4 linked regions of the Arabidopsis thaliana genome follow. The protein of the gene in region 4 interacts with the protein of the main gene of each other region in a biochemical or structural test. Each region holds a gene or a part of one and is shown on either strand. Other genes may lie near its edges. The genes, in order: AT1G74050, AT2G27330, TSBtype2 and TTL3.

Region 1 (4,385 bases), on a different chromosome or scaffold from region 4:
TGAAAATGTGCATGCTTATATTTAGGATATATGTGCAGAAGTATTGCTGTGCACAACCGGTGGGATGTGGGACCATAACGATGTTCGACAAGCCAGGCGAGTGGAGTTGGAAACATCAGTATGAACGGAACCAAGTTCCAGAAGAGTGTTCTTATGAGTATTGTTTAGATTGCAGAGGCTGCCAACTAAGCATCTTAAAAGCCATTGTTCATCAATGGAAATATCTCTCGATGTTTGCTTACCCTGCTCTAGTCCTTTCCTGCATCAGTCTTGCTATAGCTTGGTCTCTCAAGGAGACTATCCACGAAAACGAAGATTATCGAGGTTCTTATAGTTGATCTATGATTTAATCCTAGAATACTTACTTCAAATTACATCAAAAAGTGTCAGATTTGTAGAAATGCCTATAGAAAACGGTGAATGATTTTTGAATGAGATAACGCCAATGTTCATGTAGCTTGCACATACATACCATTTTGATGTTTATTCTATATTTATGTTCAATTTCATACCGAGTTATATAGCATAACGATCCCCTTTTTTTTTGACAATAATTATCCCATTTCTATCACGAACCACGCTACAAAGCTCACAATCAAAAACAGGATCGATAGTTTGTCCATACGTAAGAACAGAGAATGTATAAGCCAAAAATTGTATGTGTTCAGTGAACAAGAACAAAACAACCATTTAGAAGGTAAAACACTTCAGGAGACAGATACTCTAGAGACCTCAGAAAAAAAGTAATGAAATCTAGAAAACAAGCTCATGGGGCTTCATTCCTTGTTTCAATGAAAACCTTGCGCCAAGGTAAGTCTTCAACTCTGGAACTGCTTCAATGGCTTTGATCAAAGCTGCATCCACAGCTTTCTGGTCATCTTTCTTCACCTGTGGGATCTCCTTCTTCTCCTGTGAAATATAAAAGAGAGATGTTATGTCAAGCATATGTTTTGGTTTGGAAAATAACAAGTGATATAAAGATATTTTCAATGTCTATTCTTCCGGAACAAACTGTGATAACCAAATTTAAAGGAGAGAAACACAAGATGAATTGCGTCCTTTCCATGTTTTGCGATATAAGGTTATACCTCTTTCTCAGCCTCAAAGAACTCTCCTTCTGTCTTCTTCTTTTTCTTCTCAGCAACCTTGCCAAAGTACTTATCATCGAATTTATCGAGGGTGACTCCAGAAATGTCAACCTTTGTGGAAGTGCCAATCACATAGGCCTGGTTAACACGTCTCAAAGGAACACCATTGATCTTGAATGGTCCTAAAGAATTGTTAAAAAAAGGATGAACAATTCAGATGGTAAAAATCAGTGAATGAGCTTCGCTTCAAATGATTTATAGGAGACAAGTTCATGAGAACAGATAGAGAATAACTCACCAGTCACAAGAAGCAAACCAGAGGCAAGCTGCTTAAGGAAGACAACTCTCTTTCCCTTGAACCTACCAGCAAGGATAATCAACACTGTACCTGGAGTAATGCTAGCTCTGCAATACAGATATAAGAAGATCGGATCATGTTGGAAACATATATAAGATCTATTGAAGACGTTACAGAGCATAGACATTAAATTTGGTATACAAATGAAAATCAAATTCGCTTTTTTTCTTTTTACTATCAACCTGAGACAAGCTTAATCATACTAATAACAGTAATGTATAAGAAAACTAGATGTATTCACAGAAATTATGAACCTTTTGAAATTCAAGTTTAACTCCACTAACAATCTTCACAAACCAATGCATTTCAACTATTCTTCAAATATCCTAGAGACAAATGATTTACACAATGCAAAATTTGGACACTTTTCCAGCAGATATTCAAATCTTATACAAACCCACTTAGCAAACGAGCCAAAGAAATCAACCAAACACATGGAAGATAATTGCATCGATACCAGTGTCAGACTAAGTACCTGAGCTTGGTTGGTTTTGCCGTGCGCCTGTTGGGGAGAGGTTTCTTAACATCTTCAGCTGGATAGAACTTCGGTGGCTTCTCCACCGGAGCATCAACCTTAGATTTAGCGTCGTGACGTGGGAAAACGCCTCCATTTTTGGCCTTGATAGCCCACAAACCTCTCTTATGGTACATCTGGGATCTCGAGTATTTACCAACACCCCTGATCAGATCAGGGTTTCTGTTGACCTTCGGGGTCCTCTGTTTCGCCGGCATGGTTCTCTCTGTCGTAATGAATCAAGGAAAAATTTTCCGGCTGAGAGTGGATAGAGGAGAGAGTTGAGGCTGAGGATAGGTGAATTTGAAGACACTGAAACCCTAATTAAATTTTAGGGCTTTCTTGGGCTCATGGGCTTTACAATTATATCGGCCTTTTAATGTGGACCGTAACATGCATAATAGGATTTGTTTTTTCTTACAACTTTGTAGTATTAAATCTTTTCACCTAAAACTATTTTGACAGGATGATAAAAAAATCAGAGTTAGAGAGTAGTTTATCTAAAAACTCAGGCTAATAATCCCCACACAATTTGACCAACGCCAAAATCAGAGCAAGACGATTCCTTCACCTGTAAGAGTGCAATGGATCACATATATCATTTATAATTAGTTTGAGACGCTTTTGATGAAGCTGATGAGGATTTCTCCGCTTTATTCACCTTTACATGTCCTTCTTCAACAAACATTGGTCGGCTTAAAAGCTCTTCAAAAGATCAATGTGCACATGCCTATGTATATATATACTAATGACCCCGTTACTCAATCAACAAATATTGAATCTTGATCACCGAAAACCAAAATTTCATTAGATTCAATGGCTATGGCTAGTAGTAGTAGCAGCTCGTCATTGTTTCCTATCCAACAACAACCTCAACAACAATTAGGAGGCAATGAGATCACACCTATGGCTACCAATGCCAATCTAATCGCAGCACCAAACGCTCCAAACCATTACTCTTCCAGCTCCATTGGACCCTTCTTCGCTGTCATATCTGTTCTCATCATTCTTGCTGTTCTCTCCTGCTTCTTGGGTCGATTCTGCGCACGGAGCCGCCAGAGAACTGGTCTAGTGGCTGAAGTCAATCCGTTGGAGATGATAAAGAGTGGTGGGCTTTTAGGTTGGCTGAGACGAAAATGGAGACGGTGTTTGGCCGGAGATGTTGAGGCCGGAGCTAAAGTTGCTGATTGTGCTAGCAAAGAAACACCTAAAGATAATGATCAAATTCGTCTAGAAGCACCTCCAGCTTGATCTCGGTGCATGTGACAGAGACTAGTAATAAGAGTTTCAATATTCGAAGTAGATTGTAAGCTAAACTATATCATTATTGCAATGTTATTTTCAATTCTCAATTTCATCACTTCGTCATGACTTAAGCATTACTAGAATCTTGTGAAAAGTTCTCCTTCAAAAACAGGATTGATAAATTATCCATATAAGACAGAAATCCAGATAGCAGCAGCCAAGATTTTATGTCTCTGGTCAGTGGACGAGAACAGAACCAACCAGTTGGAGTGTAAAACTTCAGGAGACAGATACACTAGAAACCTCAGAAAAAAAGTAATGAAATCTAGAAAACAAGCTCATGGGGCTTCATTCCTTGTTTCAATGAAAACCTTGCTCCGAGGTAAGTCTTCAACTCTGGAACTGCTTCAATAGCTTTGATCAAAGCTGCGTCCACGGCTTTCTGGTCATCTTTCTTTCCCTGTGGAATCTCTTTCTTCTCCTGCGGAAGGAAAAAAAGTATATGGAGGTCACGCATAGCTTTTAATTTGGGTAGTGTATAAAGGAGAGAACTTTAATCGTCTATTACAAAATGAGAACCAAATGACTCTTAGAGAAAGACAAGAAGAATGTTTGGGATACCTCTTTCTCAGCCTCGAAGAACTCTCCTTCAGTCTTCTTCTTTTTCTTCTCAGCAACCTTGCCGAAGTACTTATCATCGAATTTGTCGAGGGTAACTCCAGAAATGTCAACCTTTGTGGAAGTACCAATGACATAGGCCTGGTTAACACGTCTCAGAGGAACACCATTGATCTTGAATGGTCCTAAGGTCAATAACAAAACAGGAATGTCAACTTTATACAGAATACAGAAAGCAAGTTTAGTGAATGGGCGTTCTGCATTTCGAATAAAGAATGTGGCAAATAAAGAAAGTAGATTAGCATAAAACTCACCAGTCACAAGAAGCAAACCGGAGGCAAGCTGCTTAAGGAAGACAACTCTCTTGCCCTTAAATCTACCAGCAAGGATGATAAGCACTGTCCCTGGAGTGATGCTAGCTCTGCAATAGAGAAATATGAATATCGGATTACAACATAACAAATTCCGAACAATGTAACACAAAATACAAGCAAAAGAGGCAAACTTTCCACAGAAATCAAGATAAATTCACAAACCAAATAGAACAGACCACAATGACTAA
Region 2 (4,224 bases), 6.0 Mb from region 4:
AATCGATTTTACAATCAATAGGAGCTTGCAGATACTCTTAAGTTCCGAGAAAGGAAAGAAAGACTTACAAGTTCCCAAGCTTTGACATTTCTTCCTGAATTAGTCTGCAAGAACTTTCTGCATGTACAACAAAGTGATGAGGAATGGTTTTGTGGTTTTATGACTTAAAGGATTGAAAGAAGTCAGACGTACAATACTCCACGATGCACATCTCGGTGATTGCAATGACCCCAAACACCATAGTTATCGAATGTTATTATCTGAAAAAACCACCACATAGAGAATTAGATGCAGAAATATATCTAAGTAATATCCTGAAGTGTCTTTAAGTCATACTGTGTGGATATAGTGATTAGTGACTTCTTCTTCGATGATCTCTGTTAGCAAATCGTGGCTCCATAATTGCCCAAAACCATCCTGCGAGAGAGTAAATAGTAATATACTCGGTATGAGATGGTGAATGTAAAGATACACATGTGTTGGGGAGATATAATAGAACTACTAAACCTGCAAATTTGGATGGTCCAGAATCTTTAACTGTTGAAGCGGAACCTGCATCATGTTCAATATATATTAGCAAAAACATGTTCTTCATTACAATGACAAGAATCATTATCACAGATTCCTTCTTTATCAAATGGGATTACCTTGAGCACCGCACATGCCCGATGCAGCTCTTGGTCCCTAATGCTTCCCATACCATCAGCGTTACCTGAAACAAAACAAATTCATCTTTACTATGGAAAATGAACCTAATGGTTTAACTTAAGTAGATATCAATCTCTTCTCTTCAATGAAACTAGAAATTTCTCAGTCCTTTACCAATTCCACAACTTTGAAAAGGAAAGCAAAACAGCAACCTAGAAAGGTATATTATTACCAGTGGAGAAGCATAAGATGTGAAGATTGCAGGCAGTGGAAGTGAAGTAGTTTATTGTTGGAGAAAAGAACCTGTCAAGCATGTCCATGACTCAGGAAAACATAAGAAGAAGAACAATAGTACTAATCTTAACATTTCATTAAATCTCAAAATCTTACATTGACTCATCATCAGGATGTGCGATAACAAACATCACATTTTTCTTCCCTGAAATCAAATACAATAATAAGATATCAAACTCTGAAAAAAAAGGATAAGCATTTAAAAGATGAAGTTATTAATCATCTTCGAAATACTTGCCATCATCAAGAATAGTGGCTCTGGAGATAGATGTAGCTCGGAAGAAAATTTTGAAGAAAGAAGCCACCCATATAACAACAATCAGAGATAGAAAAACAACAACCATCTGACACCATAAATGATATTGAATCAATACAAAATTGTCAGCATAAATGGTCAGTACCCAAAAAGAAAGTCAGATCAAGTCCAACAATTATAAGTCTTAAAGTGTTTCTTGATGGATCAACTTCATCCAAATTAACAAAATGGTAAAATCATCAATGTGGATTTGCAGAACATAGCTTCTATATAAGTCGAACTTAACTCATTTCAGGTGACCAGATCAATTAAAAAATGAAGAGAGCAAACAAATAAACAAAAAGATTCAAAATTTGTAAGCATTCAAGCTCACATTCGGAAGAAACCCTTGTTTGCTCAAATTCCAGATTCATGAGTCCACATTTCAGATAAACATAACAGAAACATTTTCACATTCGGAAGGATCAAGCTAAGTAAAATCAGAGAGTGGAACAGCTAAACCAAAGAAGAGAATCTATCGACACTGAGAACTGAGAAAGTAAGAGCTTGATCGATGGCAAGAATGAGGAAGGACGTGATGGCTGTAGAAGCCCATGAAAACTGAAACAAAATTGCAGTAATTTAGCTCAAATTCTCGAGAAAAAGCATTCAATTTGACATTTTTAAACTAAAAATCAATCAAAAGAAATGAAACAAAATTTTAATAACCAAAATTGACAGAGTGTGGGAACACTCACCGGAGATTTCAGCAGCTGAGAATCCGGAAGAATGTAGCAGAATCGACGATTAGGGTTTTGCTCTCAGGGAGCGATGATGTTTTGTTTTTTTACAGTGTGGTTAGAATTGCTGACGTGGACTTAAATTTGGTTTATTATATGGTAAATGGAACGGAAGAACAACAGCGAGAATAAAGTTCATAGAGTGTGATTTCGCCGGCGGTGAGATCGCGGCAACAGCCACGGCTTCAAAAGAAATGCTCACCCAGTTCCTTTATCGCTCCTTCACTCCTCTCCTCTTCTCCAGATCTTTCTCCTCTACGCTTTTCGTTAAAGGTCTCTCTCTCTCTCTCTCTCTCCCTCTTCCTCTGTTATTATCTGCGACTTTTCTGATTCTTAATCCTTCTTTCACGAATCTAACTACCCATTTCCTGATTTCTAATTCCTTGAATCGGGTATGTCCTCAATTGGTTTTTGAGGTCTTAAAGGTTGTGACTTTGACTGTGCCAATTTGGTTAGAGATAGCTATTGTGTATGTATGCTGTGATTGTACCAATTCTTCTTATTTTGATAGAAACAACAATAGGGTATGTGTGAATTTACTGCTTAACTACCACATAGTGTCTTACCAATCTAAAAGTTTCGAACTTTAGATGTAAAAGCTTTGTGTCTTTGTTTGATCTGTGTGTGACTTGTATTACTGTCACTGAACTGAAGATTTTTGCTGCAGGCATATCTTTCTCAAGCACTGAAGAAACATTAACCCAAGCATTTTCTCAATATGGTCAAGTTCTCAAAGGTCAGTCTCTAATCCCAACAGCAATTTAGTTGTACACCTTCACTTACATATCTCTTTATCTTTATCAGAGTTAGTTTGAGATAGTTAAGAGTCTATACACTTGTACATAAGGTTTTCAGTATTTTCATTCATTCTGATTGTCTTCTTCAACTTTTGGTTGCTTTAGTGGATGTTATAATGGACAAAATCAGATGCAGACCAAAAGGGTTTGCTTATGTCACATTCTCATCTAAAGAAGAAGCCGAGAAAGCTTTATTAGAACTCAACGCCCAGGTATAAACTCCCTTCTCCATTTGAGAATTCATTGCTTGAAATTCTATATCTCAGATAAGTCTAAAGACTCCATTCGAATCGATTTTCGTATAAACCCTTTCACAGTATTGATCTTTCAAACTTATAGCTTTCTCCTGTTATGAAGAAAAAGATTTGATAATTTACTTGTGAATCCCCTGGTGGAGCATTAGAACAAGATATGTTAGATAATGGAACTATTGTCTTGAGATAATCTAAAATCGTCAACTCTTGGAACTGGTTATGTTACTTAGTCTTCATGAAGTCTTGTTATATGGATCACAGTTGGTTGACGGGCGGGTCGTGATCCTTGACACAACAAAAGCTGCAAAACACAATCCACCAGACACCAAGCCAAATCATGCAGGTGGTGATAGCTGATACTTCTCTTTTGTCAACTTGTTAGGTTAAATTATGAGACTCAGAAAACCTTCAAACCAGTTTCGAGGTTATTTGGATTTGGGGAGTTAGTTGTATCGAACACCTAGAGTTAGGAGCTTTGAGTCATCATAGACCAGTTTTGCGTTTTGCGTTTGATCATGTATACAAGTCACGTGACTTGAGAGTCTTTGAGTCTTTTGGATGATTATGCCTCTTCTTCTTTGCCTTCACATACTAACCCATTGTTCTCTTGATCTATTCACTAGTTTCTTCATGTCTTTGGTATCTACTTCTAACCAAAAGATCGCTTAAGAACTATCTAAAGCTTATTTACTTATGTGGAATTCGCCGTTTAGGGCATTAGTTGTGTTCATAGCATGACTCTAATTTTCTATATACATCTATGGAAGAACCACATTTTATTTCTGAAGATTTCATAAAATTGGAATGATAAAACAAAGATGTTTGTAAGAAAACGAAATTAGCCTAAGATTTGTATTGGAAGAGGTAGTTTATATATCTTTGTCCACCTGAATGCCTTATAAATATTTAAAATACTTGTCATACACAACAACATGGATATAGTTTATTTCTCTTGCAAATTTGATATAGCTTTGGTTGATACATATTTGATTTATTGATCATCAAGTACCACATTGTCCACCTGGTCCTCCATAAGAGAAGGATACTCTATTATGCTGGTTATAACCCCAATACGTTAGTCTATAAATTGGTAAGAATCTGCATAACGTCTTGTTCTCTGTTTTTCAAAATCAATGGTTTCATAGTTCGAATTCTTAACTTTGACCTTTGAAAAATGTGAACTTTTATAAAAATCG
Region 3 (4,817 bases), on a different chromosome or scaffold from region 4:
GTGGTTCAGAAACCGACTATTTTGATTGGAAACTCTGTTGGAAGCCTTGCTTGTGTCATCGCTGCCTCAGGTCTAAACCCTTTTCACTATTTGAGTTTGTTTCTACGTCTAATGATATAAACTTCGATTACTTGAGCTAAAGATGTCACAAGTATATGAATCTTAGGTACTAAGTTTCTCATATATTTGGAAAAAAAAACAGAATCACGAGGAGATCTGGTCAAAGGTCTTGTTCTATTGAATTGTGCTGGTGGTATGAACAACAAAGCTGTCTTTGATGACTGGAGAATCAAGCTACTGATGCCTTTACTCTTACTTATCGACTTCTTACTCAAGCAAAGAGGAATTGCTTCTGCACTCTTCAACCGTGTTAAAGACAGGTATGTCCTTATTCACTTTTTCCCTGACTTTGAAACGATTTATTCGAGAGCTCTAACGCATTGACGAATATACGAAACGCAGGGAAAATCTGAAGAACATCTTGACAAATGTTTACGGGAACAAGGACAATGTAGATGACACCCTTGTAGAGGTATTGTCATTATTACTCACTCTCAATGACAAAGAACAATGAAAGTTTTATTCACTTTTTATGTGAAAATGTTATGTTAGATCATTGCTGGACCAGCAAATACCGAAGGTGCACTAGATGCTTTTGTTTCAATCTTAACGGGTCCTCCTGGACCAAATCCGATTAAGCTGATACCGGAAATAACCAAACCGGTTCTTGTCTTATGGGGAGATCAAGATGGACTAACCCCTCTTGATGGTCCAGTAGGTAAGTACTTCACTTCCCTTCCGGATCAGTTACCTAACTTCAACCTCTATGTTCTACAAGGCGTTGGACATTGCCCGCAAGATGATCGTCCGGATCTTGTCCATGAGCGTCTCCTTCCATGGCTGGCTCAACTTTCTTCCACCTAGTTTCGATTTGTTTAGCCGTGTACACTTGTTTATAAATGTAAAACAAATCTATCTAATTGGAAAAAGACAGATTCAAAATGATATTTCTTGACACATTTTGTGGTGTCTGAATGTAAGTTGTAAAGAAGTCATGGTGGTAGTAACTTGGTAAAGGAGTTTGTTTTTGGAATAAACGCAAATTACATGGTTTGTAACTGAATACCAAATGTCAAAGCCAAAAATATACTAAACTAAAAGATAGGCTTATTTAGTCAAAGCTCAATGCTATTGACTTGGTAGTCATTTTTGGTAAAAGAATCGTTACAAATGTAGAAAGTGACTAGTTAGGTTGATGAATGATTGATGGTCCTATACAATTGATAATTTGCTACTTTTGTTGGTAGGCAAGTAAAAGACACTTAATGAGCTGCTAGAAGCTATTTTTGGCCACAAAATCTACAAATTTGTTTGGTTGTTGAATCTTTAAAAGGACATTCATGCTGCAATATCATCAACATAGTGAAGATGATAATTTTCAAACTTGAAATTCAAAAGTGTATATATATGAATATGATGATTGAATATTGATTATCAGTGTGAATGAAAAACCATTGTTATAAATTTTCAGTTTTCATCAAAAAAATGATGCCAAAGAAGAAGAGTAAACAAAACAAGACAAAAAGAGTTAAATGGAGTGGTCCAATAAAAATAAAAATAAAGAAGACAAAACAAATTTGTATTAAAATGGTTAGATGTCGTTGGGTGCCGGGAAGTCTTCGTTGGAGTCTATTATTTAAATGCTTCACCGATCTCTCATTACTCTCTAGTCAATATCCCAAAATCCCTAATTCATATCTTTGAAACTGATAAAGATAACAAAGAAATGGCCTCTCAATTGCTTTTACCTCCAAACCAATTCACTAAATCAGTCTCACCTCAAGTTTTCATTACTGGTAAGTTCACTGTTGATCTCTTGATTCTTTTGTCAAAACTTTATTCTTGATTTGATTGCTTCAAAGTTGAATATTTGATGTCTTGTGTGTTTTATTTTGATTTGATTAGGTGATTGTCAAGGATTTAGTGACTTAACTCTGAAAAGAAAATCAAACCAAGCTACAAGAGTTTCAAATGGATCTAGCTTAAGAGTAAAAGCAGCTTTGAGATCTACTCACAACAAATCAGTGGTTGAGATTCCAAAACAATGGTATAATCTTGTTGCTGATCTTTCAGTCAAGCCTCCTCCACCGTTGCATCCAAAGACTTTCGAACCGATAAAACCCGAAGATTTGGCTCATCTTTTCCCCAATGAGTTGATTAAACAAGAAGCTACACAAGAGAGGTTTATTGATATCCCTGAGGAAGTTCTTGAAATCTATAAGCTTTGGCGTCCAACTCCTCTAATCAGGTTCTTGATTTTTTTATTTAGTTTTCTTATTTTGATTGTTTTTTTGTGTGTTTTCTTTTATATTTATAATTTAGCCATAGATGATTTAAAGATAATAAAAAGGATTTGTTTCTGTTTTTCATAATCAAGATTTTGAATATTAGCTGAAGTGTCATCAGTCTTAGTATTAGTTTAGCCAAATTTCATATCAGATTATTTATTTTGCTTTGATTATAGAGCAAAGAGATTAGAGAAGCTTCTTCAAACACCGGCAAGGATTTACTTCAAGTATGAAGGTGGTAGCCCAGCTGGTTCACACAAACCAAACACAGCGGTTCCACAAGCTTATTACAATGCGAAAGAAGGCGTCAAGAACGTTGTGACGGAAACCGGTGCTGGTCAATGGGGAAGTTCTTTAGCCTTTGCTTCTAGTCTATTTGGTCTCGACTGCGAAGTAAGCATAAATATTAGAATTTTGCTTTGGTATCTTGAAAAATGTAATGTTTTGATTATAAGTGACATTGTTTCTTTTATACTTTTCAAAACATTATAGGTATGGCAAGTAGCCAACTCTTACCATACAAAGCCATATCGCCGGTTAATGATGCAAACTTGGGGTGCAAAGGTTCATCCGTCGCCATCGGATCTCACTGAGGCGGGTAGAAGAATCCTCGAATCCGATCCATCAAGTCCGGGAAGTTTAGGCATTGCGATATCAGAAGCGGTTGAAGTTGCAGCGAGAAACGAGGATACAAAATACTGCCTAGGGAGTGTATTGAACCATGTGTTGTTACACCAAACAATTATTGGAGAAGAATGCATTCAACAAATGGAGAATTTTGGTGAAACACCTGACCTGATCATAGGGTGTACTGGTGGAGGATCAAATTTTGCTGGTTTGAGTTTTCCTTTTATCCGGGAGAAACTCAAAGGCAAAATCAACCCTGTTATAAGAGCGGTTGAGCCATCTGCTTGTCCTTCCTTGACCAAAGGGGTTTATGCTTATGATTTTGGCGATACGGCTGGATTGACTCCTTTGATGAAGATGCATACTTTGGGACATGACTTCATTCCTGATCCTATCCATGCCGGTAATAAAATAAGCTTTAAACTAACTATCTTAAACAAAACGCTTCTTGATTCTCAATATTCTGTTTTCTTGATTTCTTGGATCTTTGGTTCTTGATTCTTGAAACCTGAATCTTTTATTTTTGGCTTAATTTTGTTGTATTATACGTCTATGGTTGTTGGCAGGTGGATTAAGGTACCATGGGATGGCACCATTGATCTCACATGTTTATGAACAAGGATTCATGGAAGCAATTTCAATTCCTCAAATTGAGTGTTTCCAAGGTGGTTCTTCGATCGCTGAAATTCCTCAAATCTCATTTAACTTTTGCATTTGATTGTAATACAAACTTTTCATGTTTAATTGTCTTTCAGGTGCTATTCAGTTTGCAAGAACAGAAGGGATCATACCCGCACCAGAACCGACCCACGCCATTGCTGCAACCATAAGAGAGGCTCTCCGATGTAAAGAGACGGGAGAAGCAAAAGTGATACTAATGGCGATGTGTGGACATGGCCATTTCGACCTTACTTCTTACGACAAGTATTTAAAAGGCGAGTTGGTGGATTTATCATTCAGCGAAGAGAAGATACGAGAGTCTTTGTCCAAGGTTCCTCATGTTGTTTAAGCTCGAATGGCCCCATAACCACGGGAAACCAATGTCCCATGTTCCAAACTAGACGTGAGACAGAAGTTAGGTTTAATCTTGGCTTTTGAAATGAAGAGTGAGAGAGAGGACAACTTCAAAACATGAACAAAATTATCTCTTGAAATAAGAATAAAAAAGGCATTTACAGAAACACCACATTTTGGGGTTAGGTCTCTATTTTTCACTCTATATATGGAGAAATCTTTGCAAGATATGAAGCTCGACGATAAGTCGATGATGAACCTTTAATTCTTCCAAAACCATCAACACTTGCTGAAGAAGCATCAGAACTTAAGTTTTAGAAAACAAAATTATATTACGTGATAGTACTGTCGAAAGACATACAACATAGGAAGACGCAACACGTAGAAGTGAGTTGAAGATGCGATGTCATTAAAACATGACTTATAACATGAGATTATCGGAAGACACACACGCCACACATTAAAATGAGAAAACACATGTAGTAGAGTAAAAAAAAGGGTACGAGATCCTTAAGAAACAAATTTAAAACCATTGGGTAGAACATGGACCCCAAGTTGATGAAGCATGTTACTGGATTTTCCATGGAACCCAACGATCTGGTGATTATCCTTGTGAAGCACGAAGCTTGGTAATGTACCGAATCCAAAGTACGGAGAGTCTTTTTTGTTGGTCTTGAACCTAAGCATGGTTATACCTCCGATTTTATCATCATAAGTACCCTCCACTGATGTGATACGTTCAAGAGGATCCAACTCGAACTGCAAAACAAGAAAAAGAAATACATTGAGAATGATAATAAGTTGACCAAGTACTATATATTACGGAAA
Region 4 (5,416 bases):
TTAAGCATATCCATGGACATTCTTGATGATAGATAGTTGAAATAGCATCTGGAAGACGATTGCCAGTTTTTATCAATATATATTTTCACTTGGACTTCAACTGTTAATTTTGCATTTGTGTGCAGGAGACGATGCTCATAAGACGAATGGTTCTGCCAAACCTGGTGCTGGTGGAGACGATGCAGAGGTAAGTATAAGAGATTCCTTTACTCGGGGTAAATCAAATTAAAATAAGCCGATTTTGATTCAAGATTTCTTTGCTTATGTTGCAGTGATATGATATGTGTGCACCTGGACAATATGTTTCAAGAACTGAATGTGCGGTGAATAATAGTGAAAAGTAGAGTTTCTCTGTTCCCTATATCATGATTGTCTATGTTACTTGTACTCTGGTTTAGCCCTAAATGTCTCTCTGGTTTGAATGTATTGCATGCCTGTCTCAGGACACTCTTATTTGTAATTCACTACTGTCGTCTTACTATCTATCCTTATGGATCCAATCTTGAAACTTATATTCCTTCATTTCTGAATTGCTGAGATAGAAGCTGATTGGATTCGGTACTCTCTGATTCATATTCTGTCACTGATTGAATCAACAACACCAAATACAGTAAACTCTGTTCAGTTTCTTTCACTGGTGTGGTGAATAATCTAGCATACACAAGCCAAGCGTAAATAGATAATGAAGCTTGCATTTCTTGAATCATTGCGAACATTTACCCATACGTAATATGCCAAAGCAAGCAGAGCCAAACTCCAAAAAATAAATAAAGAAGAATTAGAATCGAATAAGAAGAAAGAATGAATAGTTTGTTGAATTTGACAGAAGAGCTCTTTCCCATCTTTCACATAGAATGCTTTCTGAGTCTTTTAAATAGGCTATTCGGATCGAATCATAGGGAAGCAGATAATGATGATAGGGCTTTTTCAATCATAAGAGGAAATGCTTTATAGAGTCCTCTAGAAACTGATGGCTAGGACAAACCATCTCCTTCACTTTATCTCCATTCTTGTACATCTTAAATGTCGGAACTTTCCTGATACTCTCTGCTTTCGCCAACGCCATGCTCTCCTCCACATCCACCTAATAACATTTCATTTTCTCAGTTAACACATTGAGAAACATAGGTTATACATATAAGTTTAGAAGAAAATGTGATATAAAAAGCATATTTGGAATGTGTTCTTGTTCTTACCATAAAGAAATGTACTAATGGATACCGAAGACATAAAGTGTTGATGAATGGAGAAATTTCTTCGCATTGTCGGTTTGATGATGATTTGAAATGAAATACAGAGACACCTGAAGAGAAATGTTTCCAACTTGAGCAAGACACGCAAAATCTCAACCTTTTGAGACAAATTGAAGTTTCTCATTAGACTTACCGGGAAGTGCTACGGATTTCTTGAACTTATCCAAAGTCGAAACCGCTTCAACTTCATTATTGAAACCTAGGCTTTTAGATTCTTGGCTTCTGTTCATTAGCACTGTTTTCGCTCTCTCTAGAGACTCTGCAACTTCACTGTCTCCTGGAAGTTCTCTTCTCAAGAACTCATAATCTTTAACCGCATCCTCCCACCTACCAAGCTATATATTTCAACACACATTGTCATTCGAATACACTGCAAAATTCTGTCAATAACTGATTATAGTAAGTTCTAATCTCACCTTTCCATATGAAGCAGCCCTACGTAGAAGTGCCTTGATGTAACTAGGCTGGCTTTTGAGCGCATGGTTACAATCTTCAACAGATTTCTCCCACAAACCGAGCTTATACCAACACGCTGCTCTGTTGCAGTACAAAACCGAATTGGAGTCATCTTGCTTGAGACCGTCTCCATAAGCTACACACGCTTCCGAGAATCTCCCCGAACTAAATAGCTCATTACCACGAGTACGTGCCCGCACAACCATCTTCACATTGTTTAAAACTGATACAACCTCAGGATTGGTTTGATCAAGCATCGCAGCTCTCTCTGCCTTGACAACCGCATTCTCAAATCTGCAACAAACCTATCATATCTACTCACTCACCGGTGGAGAAACAAAAATCCAAAGAATCACAACATTTCTGAGTTTCGAAAGCTCACCTTCCTAATGCCATATCAACTTGAGCTTGGATACAGAGCACATAAGCTTCAACTACCATACCAAAGAGTTTCACCTGCGGTTGAGAATGGTAATGATGATCCAATCTTGGAATGCAAGATACACAAAAATCCGAATCCTCTATTTGCTTAAGACGCAAAAAGGCTTCTGCTTTACAAGCTACAAGCTGTCCAAACCAATAGAAAAAACCTCACTGTTAGTCAAAAATCTTTACAAGCATATCATACGACAATGATATGTAATCACCTGAGGAGACGAATCAGCGCCGTTTGCAATGGCTGCATCGGTTTCCTTAATCGCGGTTTTCCAATCTCCAATCTTTCGAGCCTCCCAGCATCGTCGGAGATGCTTCTCCAGCGTCTGTAGCCGTTGGAGATCAGCTTGATCCGGACATTGACCAGAAAAACAAATGTGACGTCTTGCATTCTCAGCTTCACCCAATCTAAAGCAACAATTCACTCCATCATTTCAAATTCTCAATCTTTAAACTAAAAACACAGCAACAAAACAAAAAGCCTCTCAAGATTACCTGAGATAGAGAGAAGCAAGTCTTTGGTGAGCTCTGGAGTAAGAAGGATCAATCCTAACAGCTTCAAGACATTCTTTAACGGCTTCTCCTAACCGCCTCAATGCCGTTAAAGCCGCGGCACGGTTGCTTCTGTAAGCTGCATTTCCCGGTGAAATCAAAATTGCTCTGTCATAAAGCGACAGAGCTTCAGAGAAACTCCCTCTCCTATACATATCATTCCCCATTCTCTTCAACTCCTCCGGGTTTTCGCCATTCTCCGCCACTCTCACCGCCTTTCCGCTGGTTCCTCCTCCTCCGCCGCTGCGTACAACGTTTCCATGTCCGTAATTACCAGTTCCTGTGCATAGAGTCTCAGTCCTACTTGAAGTCCGAGACGCCATTCCAGTTTTCAAGATCCGACCCGACGGACAAATATTTCCCGCCGGTAAAACGCCAGTATTGGGAGACACTGCCGACGTAGCACCGCTACCACCTCCTTGTGGCGAGGTGTGACTCGTTGCTGAAGTAAAGCTAGAGCCAGAGAAGATCAAAGGCGTGCCAGTAGAAGAAGATCTTCTATGACCCGGTTTAAGAATCCGGGTCGTGGTCGGCATTCCGGATCCGGGGCTAGAAAGCTCACCGGAATGACTCTTGTAAGCATCATCTAACCGTTTAGCCATCTGAGAACTCACCGACGGTTTACCAGAAGCAGAGCCAGAAGAGCCAGAGCTGCTAGTAGGAGTCGCAGCAGCGGAAGAAGAAGCAGAGCCACGTGGCATTAAGGTAGAAACAGGAGAACCTAGATCGAGTTCTCGAAAATCAGGTTTGTTGACGTCATCATCATTTCTCTGTAAATCACGAAATCGACCAGTGATTGAATCTATAGCAGGTTCCAACGAAAGTCTTCTAGAATGAGACATCGTCGTCACTTCCTCGTGAGCTGAATCTAAAATGAGACTCAGCTTCCTTTTCTTCTTCTCAGAGAAGTCAAGAGACCACCACCGAAGCTTTTAACGCCGGACAGAAACAAGTACTGTCTTCAGAGAGAAGAGAGAGAAAGAAGAGGAAAAAGAAAGACAGATCTCGTGATAAATAGAAAAGGAAGACGCAAAGAATTAAGATGAAGAAAAAAAAAAGGATTAACCTTGATTAATAAAGATTACGGATTTATCTCCCTGAAGATTATGACATTGATCTTCTTCTTCATCTTCTGTTTATCTCTCTTCGCTCCCGTGTCTTCACGGCTACTTGTCGTTGAAGAAAATAATACGGTGATTTATCGAATTTATTATTAATTAATAAACTCTATAGTCTAAAATAGTTGACTTTTTAATTTTGAGCACAGTGTTCGAATATAAACTAATTAGACTTTTTCTAACATTTAATGAATTTAAGTTTTCTTAATAAATTAAAACATTTAACCCCTTACTAACTAACTACATCTTTTTTTTTTGGTGCACACTAACTAAGTACTAAAGTACATCTACTTTCAAATTGTTGCGTTGTGTTACGGAAACGAATTATGATATAGTACATTGTATCTGTTAATTTGTATGAATGTTAATTAGTATTTAAAATTACTAGCTTCTGACGTCAAGGGCACGAAGATTCAAGCACGTTCACTCATGTTCCCAAAATGTTACTCTATCGAAATGTATAACATCATTTATTAATACAGACTATGCAATAGCATAAGCAAGGCAAGCTAGCTATATGTACTAGTATCATATTAGGATTTTTTAAAAGTAAACACTAAACCTTCGTAGGATATTCAATGCGCCACGACATGTTACTATTTTATCATTATTACTAGTATTTTTTTGTTGCAATATGTTTCATTTATCAAACCCACTTTTAGGGTCGTTGTACAGAAGTCTCGCATTAAATTGGCCGACTCAATTTTTATTAAATTGAATAATTGTAATGGTATTTTTTAGACATTAACATTTTAACTAGTGTTTAGTTAGTTGTAAAAAAAAATCTGGACAAATTACTAAGAAATAAGAAGTTATATTCTAGAAAGTAAATCTAATGATTATTTCTACAGATACAATAGATTTTTATTATAAAAAAAAATTAGTTAGAAGTATGTCAACAAATCACAGACTTTTGGAGTTTGGTTAAACTATTTGACCAAGAAAAATGAGAAAAAATGCCACGTAAGGATTTCAACCCTCGTACTCAGAGACAGCAAGATAGAGGGTAAAATCGTCATTCGATGTAAGATGTATTTATCAAGCCAGCCAAACTTTTGTTTAAGCCACCATATATATTGTACTATTATAAGCATATAAAGTAATCTTTTATTGCAATAGCCAATTTAAATGTAAATAACAAATGTGTGTAATGCAACAAAAATAAAGAAAATTACAAATGAAAGTTCAATATCTATTGCAGAGCTGGCATTTTTAAAATCTTCATTTTGGTTTTCGGGTGTCCTTTGAAAAGGCTGTCATAGTTCTCTTTTTTTCTTTTCTGGGGATTACTGTTTAATTCATTCGATATAGAGTAGTTAATTTGCTGAAACTCATAATTAATTACTTTGTATTAACTATTTACTGTTTCTAGTAGATCATGGCCAGTCCGTACCGTTCAGACCTACGGAACCACTAATTACATTGAACCAAGCACCATGCATGCCTTCATTTTATTTTATTTTTCTCTAGCTAGGTCATGCCTCGCACCCTCAAATTATTTTCCATATATAGTCAATTAATTTTCTCTTGACTTTTTCTTAAATAAATTATTTCGCTATATAAAAATATTTAAAACAATAATAGGATAATTAAGAACATAAC

What was found.
Region 1: the proteins of TTL3 (region 4) and AT1G74050 form a complex in vitro, tested with the Arabidopsis thaliana proteins (one study listed by BioGRID).
Region 2: the proteins of TTL3 (region 4) and AT2G27330 form a complex in vitro, tested with the Arabidopsis thaliana proteins (one study listed by BioGRID).
Region 3: the proteins of TTL3 (region 4) and TSBtype2 form a complex in vitro, tested with the Arabidopsis thaliana proteins (one study listed by BioGRID).

The regions. Positions count from the first base shown.
Region 1 is NC_003070.9:27,846,503-27,850,887, forward strand, and holds AT1G74050 (Ribosomal protein L6 family protein), read right to left. Parts: upstream 2,507-4,385; 5' UTR 2,179-2,506; coding exon 1,922-2,178; intron 1,494-1,921; coding exon 1,387-1,493; intron 1,271-1,386; coding exon 1,089-1,270; intron 910-1,088; coding exon 754-909; 3' UTR 536-753; downstream 1-535. Other genes in the region: TET17 (tetraspanin-17 protein), read left to right, coding at 39-338; AT1G74055 (uncharacterized protein), read left to right, coding at 2,777-3,211; AT1G74060 (Ribosomal protein L6 family protein), read right to left, coding at 3,531-3,686, 3,827-4,008, 4,138-4,244.
Region 2 is NC_003071.7:11,694,511-11,698,734, reverse strand, and holds AT2G27330 (RNA-binding (RRM/RBD/RNP motifs) family protein), read left to right. Parts: upstream 1-1,935; 5' UTR 1,936-2,171; coding exon 2,172-2,250; intron 2,251-2,644; coding exon 2,645-2,713; intron 2,714-2,879; coding exon 2,880-2,986; intron 2,987-3,289; coding exon 3,290-3,385; 3' UTR 3,386-3,703; downstream 3,704-4,224. Other genes in the region: AT2G27340 (N-acetylglucosaminylphosphatidylinositol de-N-acetylase family protein), read right to left, coding at 69-117, 193-260, 337-417, 508-552, 648-712, 881-951, 1,039-1,087, 1,181-1,286; AT2G27320 (NEP-interacting protein, putative (DUF239)), read right to left, coding at 4,104-4,224.
Region 3 is NC_003076.8:15,422,311-15,427,127, forward strand, and holds TSBtype2 (tryptophan synthase beta type 2), read left to right. Parts: upstream 1-1,669; 5' UTR 1,670-1,786; coding exon 1,787-1,856; intron 1,857-1,965; coding exon 1,966-2,308; intron 2,309-2,524; coding exon 2,525-2,741; intron 2,742-2,840; coding exon 2,841-3,378; intron 3,379-3,541; coding exon 3,542-3,640; intron 3,641-3,730; coding exon 3,731-3,984; 3' UTR 3,985-4,266; downstream 4,267-4,817. Other genes in the region: AT5G38520 (alpha/beta-Hydrolases superfamily protein), read left to right, coding at 1-70, 167-380, 463-532, 613-924.
Region 4 is NC_003071.7:17,726,977-17,732,392, reverse strand, and holds TTL3 (tetratricopetide-repeat thioredoxin-like 3), read right to left. Parts: upstream 3,915-5,416; 5' UTR 3,539-3,914; coding exon 2,640-3,538; intron 2,553-2,639; coding exon 2,357-2,552; intron 2,277-2,356; coding exon 2,092-2,276; intron 2,004-2,091; coding exon 1,670-2,003; intron 1,589-1,669; coding exon 1,387-1,588; intron 1,304-1,386; coding exon 1,197-1,303; intron 1,085-1,196; coding exon 932-1,084; 3' UTR 557-931; downstream 1-556. Other genes in the region: GRF9 (general regulatory factor 9), read left to right, coding at 126-229. UniProt on the Arabidopsis thaliana protein: Involved in osmotic and salt stress tolerance. May play a role in the control of meristematic cell size during osmotic stress. May function as an adapter protein for BRL2 and may be required for signaling affecting leaf vascular tissue pattern formation.